3 linked regions of the Tribolium castaneum genome follow. The protein of the gene in region 2 purifies or fractionates together with the protein of the main gene of each other region. This does not show direct contact. Links are inferred from orthologs where the notes say so. Each region holds a gene or a part of one and is shown on either strand. Other genes may lie near its edges. The genes, in order: Tap42, mts and hpo.

Region 1 (3,502 bases), on a different chromosome or scaffold from region 2:
GTAGAACGTTAAAAAATTAAAGATTGCCATCAGTCAGCATAAAAATATTGCTAAAAATTCAGAGTTGCCACCTATGTCGCAATACATTAATTATAGCGAAATATACACTTCAAATTGAAACTTATTTAGTATCTAAAAATTGTGTTGCCCAATTATTAATGGTTAGAGCTGTTATGCAAACTTTTTTATCTATTTTTCAATTGTTTATTGTTTTTAGGCCTTGCATTCTAATATTCGATTCTTTGGCGGGGGCAAGTCGCAGTAGAGTTGTAGCCACACTTCGGGACTACTTAACATGTGAATACAAAGCAAAGCTCAACGAGGAAAAAATATTTACGAAGGATATCATCAAAGGTGCTTGTCCGAAAGTTCCTCAACAAACTAATTTTACGGACTGTGGATTGTATTTGTTACAATATGTCGAACAATTCTTTAATGTAAGTTGTAACCGAAACTATTTTAAAGAGCGTAAGTAACAAATCGTTTTAGGACCCAATTAAAGATTATCACATACCTATTTTACACTTGAAAACTTGGTTTGAAGAAATTACTGTAACCAAAAAAAGAGAAGATATTTCACTTTTAATCCAGTCGCTAATGAAGGAAGCTGGAAAAGATTTGGACATACTACCAGATGTTATATTCCCAACTCAAAACGGTATGATTTATTTTTGTTTTTTCGTTTAAATTGTTAAAATGTTTTTTTAGGTGAACTAACAGAGCGAGCGCTTATGGAGAAAGAGGATAAATTCATGGACGACGAAATGATGGAAGACGAAGATGAGGATTACGTTCCACCAATGGGCAAGATAACAAGTGACCAATCAGATGAAACTGGGGAATCAAATTCAGAATCACAAGGCAATTTCGCCCTAAAACCATCAAATGAAGGTGTTGTTAATTCGGAGTTTACCGAACAAGCTGTGACTAGCGCGTCATTGTTGAAACCAGATATTAGTGACTTACCGAAACAGAGCAGTAAAGACACTCTTTCTTATCTTAAAGCGAAACGAATTATCAGACACAAGAATAACATGAACAGTGATGGTGCACCCGATTCGAAAAAAGCTAAAAGTGAAACAAGTGACACTTAAAACGTGACTATTTTTAACTCACTATTTTATGATGCAAAATTTGTGAATGTTGTTAATAAATTTCTTTAGGCGCTTTTTTATTTAAATCGTATTTAAGTTTGTAAATTTTGTAGGCCACACAATTATGTTTGTTTAGTTGTATTAATGTATCGAGAAGATTACTTTTGGAATCAATAAATGAATATAAACATCCGGTTTTTCATTTCACCGAGGTCGTTGAACTAACAGTGTTGTCACCAGAGTAAAAACAAAATTATAAGTGTCGCCAACTAAAGAAAAATTAATGACACAATGTTGCCAATATAACAAATCTAAAAATCCAGTGTTGACAATGCACTAAAATGAAAAGTGTCAATGTTGCCAATAAAATAACTTCATGTTTCATGGTCGCCAACATAGAAAAACTAAAAAATAATTTGAGGCAAAACGCAGTTCAAATGACCACATTTTATCGCAAAATTGGTAAAATGTGCTTTATTTAGAATAAAACAATAGAAGTAATTCAATTTATCTTTATATTTCGTTGGTTGCACTGCGTTTTGACACTTCTTCGTGACAGGTGTTTTGTGTACAATATTTGTTATTTATAGAATGATAGCTCACAATCTAAATTAGAAAAAGTGAATATGGCAAATTCTAATGAACCTGACGAAACGAACCTTCCCACTTTATTTAACCAAGGTTTGGATTTATACAACTCAATCTGCAACAGCAATGAACCTACAAACAGCCCCCCAGTCCAGGTAATTGCGTTCGCTGATTTTGTGTTAAATCTTAAAGTCCCTGATTTTAGAGCAACGTAAAAAAGGCAATGAGTCTTTTCGAGCAAGCCACTCGTTTGGTGTCATTTGCCGGAATTTTTAGCACCAATGAAGGGATTGAAGAAGTGGCAACAAACGACCTACAGTATTTCCTCCTTCCAGCACTGCTAGGTTCCCTAAGTTTAAAATTAACCAGTGGTGAACGTAAAGAAATCATAAACGTTGCCGAAATTTACTTTAAGGATTTTTTGAGCAGATGCAACGATTACGGTTTAAGTAACTACGACTTTACCGAAAAGAAGGAACAAAAGAAGCCACAGACTGAACTGGAGGAAATCACAGTATCGGTAAACACGAGGGCAAACAAAATACAAAGGTACAAAGAACAAAAGGAGTTGAAGTCGAAACTCGCCGATTTAAAAACGAACATGGAAAATGAGCATGCTGATGAAGAAATCAAAAGGGACTACTTCCTAACTATGCTCAAGTCCTTCATCCATGAAGCCGTAGACGAACTGAACAGCATAGAAATGGAAAAACCAATACTGGAATACATGGCTAATGTGAAAAAGGATGAGAAGAAACCGGAGCCAAAAAGACCAGTAACCCCACTCAAGCCCATAATTATCACAAAAGATGAGGTCCAGAAGGCGGTTTTTGGCGCCGGATATCCTTCCTTGCCGACGATGACGGTTCAAGAATTTTATGATAAGAGGGTCAAAGACGGGATTTTTCCTGACCCTACTAAACCACCAACTGGTCCCATGAGCCTGCAGCAAGCTGCTTTGGCAGGGGTGGAGTTAAACTGCGAAGAGAAGGAAGCAGAAGAAAAGGAAAAAATCGTCGAGAGTGACGATCCAGAGTACATTGAGAGAATGCGGAGGATGGATGAGTTTAAGGACGAACACAGGAGGGGGTGGGGAAATAGGGCGAATAGGAGTTAGGCACGGAGTTAGTTATTTGTATTTTTAGAATAAATGTCTAAACTTTGGTTGTGACCTTTCAAATAAACAATTTTGCGTCGTTTTGTCATTTATTGTATAAAAATAAGACTTCAATTAACTGGAGGGCACTTGAAAATTTGCAATTTCCTGCCCCACTCGCTACGTTCGCTCTCGTACAGTTTCACTGCTTTACAACTAGTTAAAATGTGTTGTTCAATCTTATTTTCAACATCGTGCGTTATCTGCAATTCCTTAAAGAGAGGAAACGTTGCATCACTAAGTTTCAAACGTTTGACGGCACTTCTATAACATTTCCACGGTTGCGGTTCTATTATAACAAAGTCCCCTAAATCACAAATTTCGTTCAAAAAACGTATCAGGCCGTCATCACCATAATTTAGGTGAATCCACATTGTTATAGAGAAGCAAAAAACAGCGTCGAATTTCGCTAATTTCCGTTTTTTTAAATAATCTTTAATTAGGCTTTTATCACTCATAAAGTCTAAACAACGGAACTGTATGTTCTCTTTGTTTTGGTTTTTTTCGTTAGCTCTTTCCACTAAGGTTGGGTCAATATCAACGCCCAAAATTTCGCAATTTTGTACTTTTCCCTTAAGAAAATTGTAGAGTTCGATAGTGAGGTCCTAAAATTAATTAGTGAAGTTCCATTTTAAAATCTAATTTTTAAAACTACCCCTGCATT
Region 2 (2,410 bases):
CGAAGGGATTCCATCGCATCTGGTGGTCGCCAATTAATAAATTTAATTTTTGTGGCGGTTTTTACCTGATTAGGGTCGGGCTCTGTTTCCGTCCAGTTGTGCGTAACATTGACCCCTGGAAAGGGCGAAAAGGGCTTGTGTCCCACCGATGGTCGGATTCTATACAACCAACTCCTCCTGTTTTCGCATCTGGGTGCCGTAAAGGCGCTCCCGGACAATTGCTCGGCGTACAACCCATATGGGCACTTTTGTGGGCTGTTTTGCCCTTTCGGGAGTGAGTTGGGGCATCTGGGGTCTTCCGAGGAAAATTCGGACCCGAAACCGCTCAAATACTACACTGGGATTACAAGTGGTTACAAGATGTGGCTGTGGCTTACCTTGAGTGTGGACATGGTGTGATAACAGCTGGATAAAAACTGAATTCTTCTTTCGCTCGTATCAGCATAAAATATCATTATGTAAATGATTTAACTTGTTTATAAAATATCCCAACAAACATAATGATTGAGCAGTTTTCGAGAGGAATATTAATATTAATTAGGTGAGAAAAGGTTACGAGATGGGGTGACAATGAAAGAGCCGGTTAGAAATAATTTTTACTTCACAGAAAACCAAATGTACAGTCTTAAACACAATTAATGTTATTAAATGAACGAGATTATAGCCATAGCCGAACGCAGTTTTGTTTGTTGAATTCAGGTAATTTCATACACAGGGGGCAAACACCCTGTACACAATATCACACAATGTATAGAAAAAACGGACTGAACGTTTTTACACAAATATAAAGAAAGAAACTGCACTTTTTTAATTAAAAACACTGAGTATATAACTAGGACATGCATACCTACCTTGTAGTTTATGTATAATAATTTTGGTCGCGAATAGGGCAAACCTACCAAACCTCAGTACTCCTCGAATTTGATAATAATTTAACAAAACAGTATACAGAAAAAAGCTCGTTTCGCCCCCCTTTCAGTTAAATTATTAGTATGGGAACTGGGCGCAGAAAAGAACTTGTTCTCTTTCAGACTGCGTCATTTGTACGCTACATTTTTTTGTTAACAAATACAATATATCTAAGCAAGTTTATGATATTGCGATTGACAAATATAAGAATTACAAGAAGTAATCGGGTGTCCTGCGCGTCACGTGGGGTTCCCCACGACGAGGTGCTGGGTCAAATTGTAAGCTGTAACCAATTCAATTAAAACCAAATCACCACGAAAACTACCATCATCTTACAATGAATATTTGAGGGCATCATCTAGTTCCATGATAGCCGCTTGGTTACCGCAACGGTAACAGTAATTGGGGGCGCTAAAGATGGTGACGACGTTGCGGTCGTGACACCAATTGTAACCTTCCATAACTAGCTGATGGGCACGCGAAACTAATGTCAAACCGTTCGAATGATTGAAAGTCTCGGAAATGTCCTGACCGAAGGTGTAACCAGCCCCTCGGGGGGAAATACCCCAGCCCCCGCGATCGTCGGGGTCCGACCACAAAAGGTCGCACATTGGCCCCTCATGAGGAACCTAAAATATTATACACACTCACGATCAATTCCACAAAAAAAATTCGATGGCAAAGTTGAATCAATTTGAAATTAATAGTTTTTAATTGTATTGTATGTTTTTTTGTATGAGAAAATAAAAAAAAACATGAATAAGAACGGAATATTTTGCTTATTTTTTTGTTATTTGCGTAAAATTCATTATTAAGTAATTAGATAAGCAGCCACTTTAATAAAACAGTAGTCACCTGACCCACTTTGAAAACAAGTAACATGTGTTTATTTTGTTTATCAAATATTTTAACAGTTTCCCCACACACTGTTCCGTTTTTCTATCCTGAAAATGTATTTCCTTCGTCGACAACTCGATTACTCGCCAAAATAAACAAAACGGGAGCTTGTTTTTTGGCCAATTCGCTTGTATTGATTCGATTTTCCCCAGCGTTCTATCATTTTTCTAATAGGAAACAGGAAGAATGCTTCCGTCTGCTATATTAAAAACGGAACGAAGATTTTCACGCGTTTCACCGAAAAAAAGAAAAAGTTGCACCGCAATCGTAATAAATCACTCTTGGATGAATTTAAAATTTTAATTAACATGAGTTTGAAGATTTACCAAACAGGTATTACCAGCTTAGTAGACCGGACTGATTTAATACTCATAAATATCTAAAAATACCGACCGGCAAACTTTCCTTGGCGAAATTATTGTTCCCGTAATAAATTTTCCGCAAGAATGTGAATTATCCAGAGCAACTCCAAGATAAACCAGAATCGGGTCAAGGTCGCAATGTGATGAATTCATTATAATTAAGGGTGTTTGGGGTGACAAACGCTCGAGATTTCCATCCGATAAATTGTTTGGAAGCTAAATAGATTGACGTGGGACCTTGA
Region 3 (3,058 bases), on a different chromosome or scaffold from region 2:
TTTTGTAATTTTGTGTAAAAAAATATGAGCATTTATCGGTATAAACGACAAAATGTCAAAATATTTCTTAGAAATTGCTACTTCTTCTACTTCTACTTCTACTCTACTTCTACTTCTTCTACTTCGTAAATAAACGGATCGAAATAACCAAATAACAGAGTCTGACTGTAAAAAGTGTCTCTTTTTTTATCAACTGGCAATTGTAACATTAAACCAATGTAAGAGTTTTTCTGTAATTTTTAAACATGAAACGTATTTGTTAGCTATTTGCGTATTATATATCACCCATCACTAAACAAAACTAAACTTAGTTTAACTAACTTAAGAGCTTAACTTACTTAACTTAAGAGCTTTTAAAACTTACAGTCACCGCCGAATTTTGTATGACTTTGACACAGATGCTGCAAAAATGAAATAGATTTTGCCTGTACCGATAAATAAAACTGTTACTTTAATTTAATAATTGTATTAATTAACGCCCATTGAAGAATATCAGTTATTCGTGATTAACAATGACAATTGTTGACAATGACAATAACAATTAACATAATCAGCTTGCATTAATTATATAAATTAGTTAAGGTATTAAAAAAAACTGTATAAATTCGTAATAGTGTTTTAAAAATATAGTTATTAGCAATTAGCAAAGTTTTCACTGCAAAACTTGCTAAATAATAAGACTTCCACCTTGTTATCTCTCAAGATAAGCAGAAGAAAATCTAATTGAGTTATTTGATGAAAAATTAATAAATCTATCGATATAAAGTGCAAAACCTTGAAATATTTTTTGTGAATTGCCTGACTGCAATTTGCATTAAATCACTGTGACTAAATTTTTTAACCAGGTGATATCAAAGGAAATGTGGAAAATAACATTTTTAATTTAATGAGTTTCTACAAAATGTACAAGTTTCTCTGTTATTATAAAAACATTTGTGAGTCCAACTATTCTCTAAAAATGTCTTGAAAAATGTGGAAGTACTGAGAGGAAATAAAACCGAAACTTCAATAAAAACTCTTGAATGCACAAATGTTTGTGCTCAAATCGTCTTAAAAGTATTGAAATGAAAAAATTACGTCCACAGTTTGTGCAATAAATAAAGTGGAATCACGTACTTCTTTTTTATTATTCTACGCTTGAGACAAGGATAAATTAGAAACTGAATGAATTATAAAAGAATATCGATAACAGTATTGTAGAAAATAGTTGTAGAAAAACTAATACAAAATGAGTTATCATTATCAGTTATAATTTATAGAATTCCAAAAAAGCTCAGAATAAAGGTTACTTGGACAAGAAATAGTAGATTATGTATTTTTAATTTTATTTGTAAATGCAATCACACAGTAACATTGAATACAAAATTAAGCACAAACACGATATCACCAGTTAATTTAAATAATTTCAAAAATTATAATCATTTTGCGGTTAGGTCTTAAACTGACTCGTTGTATCTTTTATCTCAAACGGCTGAATGTATAAAAAAAACATTCGCAACGTGTTTAAAAATAGTCGTGTATGAGTGTTTTTCGTCGTGATTGAAATCGTGCATGTTTCTGTAATGTTGGTTGCATAGCAAAACCATTTCAGGGCATGACACGGGTTCGAGTCAAGGCGGCAAGAAATACCGGCCGTTGTTTTTGGAGCACTTTGACAAAAAGGAGGCGGAAGTAAGTAACAATTAATTAGTTATCAATTGATAAATTGTTTATTGCAAATTTAGGGTAACGGCGTCGTGACGCCTACGACGCTTGATGGTCCCGAAATCGTGCCTGACGAGCAACGTTTCCAAAGTCATTTTCATGTACAGTTAAACCAAGTGCCGTCGCCTCAACAGGCCCAACCTCAAGAACAAAAAGCACAATTTCATCGGCCTTTCTCAGATGGTGATTTTGAATTTGTGGGTATTTCATATGTGTGGTGAATTAATTGGGTTTGAGTGGTTGTTTTTTCAGTTGAAGTTTTTGAGTTTCGAGGAGTTGCAACAGAGGATGGCCAAATTAGATTTAGATATGGAGAGAGAAATAGACGAACTTCGTAGGAGGTATCAGATTAAAAGACAGCCGATTTTAGATGCAATGGATACGAAGCGGAAGCGACAACAGAATTTCTGAACTGTTGGCTCGTTGCAATGGAATATGGTGCTCAAAAAGTTAGGTTTTTTAATACTTGCCATTTAGTTTATCTTTGTTGCTTTTTGAGCCGAATATCGTGGTGAGGAAACAAGATGTGTTCCTACTTATTGTACTTAATCAGTTACGTACAGTTTTTAATATGTTATTCTCAATTTTATTTCACTAGATTAAAATGTTTTGCCATACCGGATGCACCAGTTAAACATTTTAGTTAATCATTAATTTTAATAAAATTGCCTTCACGACAAGTTTGAGCTTTTATCAGTGTTATTTTTGTACAGTCATTTTAACTCTAGGTTATAACCTGTACGATAAGTACGCTTGCTGTGCCTTTAGTAGTACCTAGGATTAAGTACGAGTGTAACCATATTTTTTGATCAAATAAAATTCATAACTAATATTTCCAATATATATTTACAATTATAAACTAATACAATAATTTCACAATAAAACAGTAGGCCAATCAAGCGGCATCTCCTTTCTCCTTACTGAAAGCTTGATTGAAATTAAGATTCGCTCCCTCATCGGCTAACATTTCGCTTGGTTGGCCCACAAATGAAAAATCAGTGTTAGTAGCCACAAGACTGATTGCGTTGAGTATTGCTTCGTGAAGTGAATTTTGCAGCTAATAACACCTGTAAACGGTCCAAAATTTCTGATTCTTAATCACAGCTGTACCAATTGGTGGTGATACAATAAGCACTTAAACACTAGAGTAAATGTGAAAGGCACTGTTACAATATGTTAGTGTAAAATATATTTTAGAAATTGTAAAACTAAGACTACAAGTAACCGTTGTCAATAAAATATATACATATACGTTACCAATTAAAGGCACAAAATGGAGGGATTAGTTCAGTGTGAGCATATTTATACGAGTTGAATCCTTCGCGATGCAACAAGTCTGGTCCTGGGAGGAGCA

Evidence for each region.
Region 1: the proteins of mts (region 2) and Tap42 purify together in Drosophila melanogaster (affinity purification with western blotting; 3 studies listed by BioGRID, with this or other methods). This does not show direct contact. The link is inferred for Tribolium castaneum from reciprocal best matches to the Drosophila melanogaster genes mts and Tap42.
Region 3: the proteins of mts (region 2) and hpo purify together in Drosophila melanogaster (affinity purification with western blotting; 3 studies listed by BioGRID, with this or other methods). This does not show direct contact. The link is inferred for Tribolium castaneum from reciprocal best matches to the Drosophila melanogaster genes mts and hpo.

Annotation. Positions count from the first base shown.
Region 1 is NC_087398.1:9,399,570-9,403,071, forward strand, and holds Tap42 (immunoglobulin-binding protein 1), read left to right. Parts: upstream 1-1,534; 5' UTR 1,535-1,720; coding exon 1,721-1,837; intron 1,838-1,887; coding exon 1,888-2,799; 3' UTR 2,800-2,878; downstream 2,879-3,502. Other genes in the region: uncharacterized protein LOC659719, read left to right, coding at 218-437, 490-658, 709-1,094; probable RNA methyltransferase CG11342, read right to left, coding at 2,910-3,443, 3,494-3,502.
Region 2 is NC_087399.1:659,205-661,614, reverse strand, and holds the end of mts (serine/threonine-protein phosphatase 2A catalytic subunit beta isoform), read right to left. Parts: intron 1,539-2,410; coding exon 1,246-1,538; intron 1,193-1,245; coding exon 1,120-1,192; 3' UTR 584-1,119; downstream 1-583. Other genes in the region: hgo (homogentisate 1,2-dioxygenase), read right to left, coding at 1-19, 66-332, 378-455.
Region 3 is NC_087403.1:7,367,163-7,370,220, reverse strand, and holds the end of hpo (serine/threonine-protein kinase 3), read left to right. Parts: intron 1-1,540; exon of another isoform or gene 1,541-1,577; coding exon of another isoform or gene 1,578-1,591; coding exon 1,592-1,671; intron 1,672-1,724; coding exon 1,725-1,901; intron 1,902-1,956; coding exon 1,957-2,115; 3' UTR 2,116-2,536; downstream 2,537-3,058. UniProt on the Drosophila melanogaster protein: Plays a key role in the Hippo/SWH (Sav/Wts/Hpo) signaling pathway, a signaling pathway that plays a pivotal role in organ size control and tumor suppression by restricting proliferation and promoting apoptosis.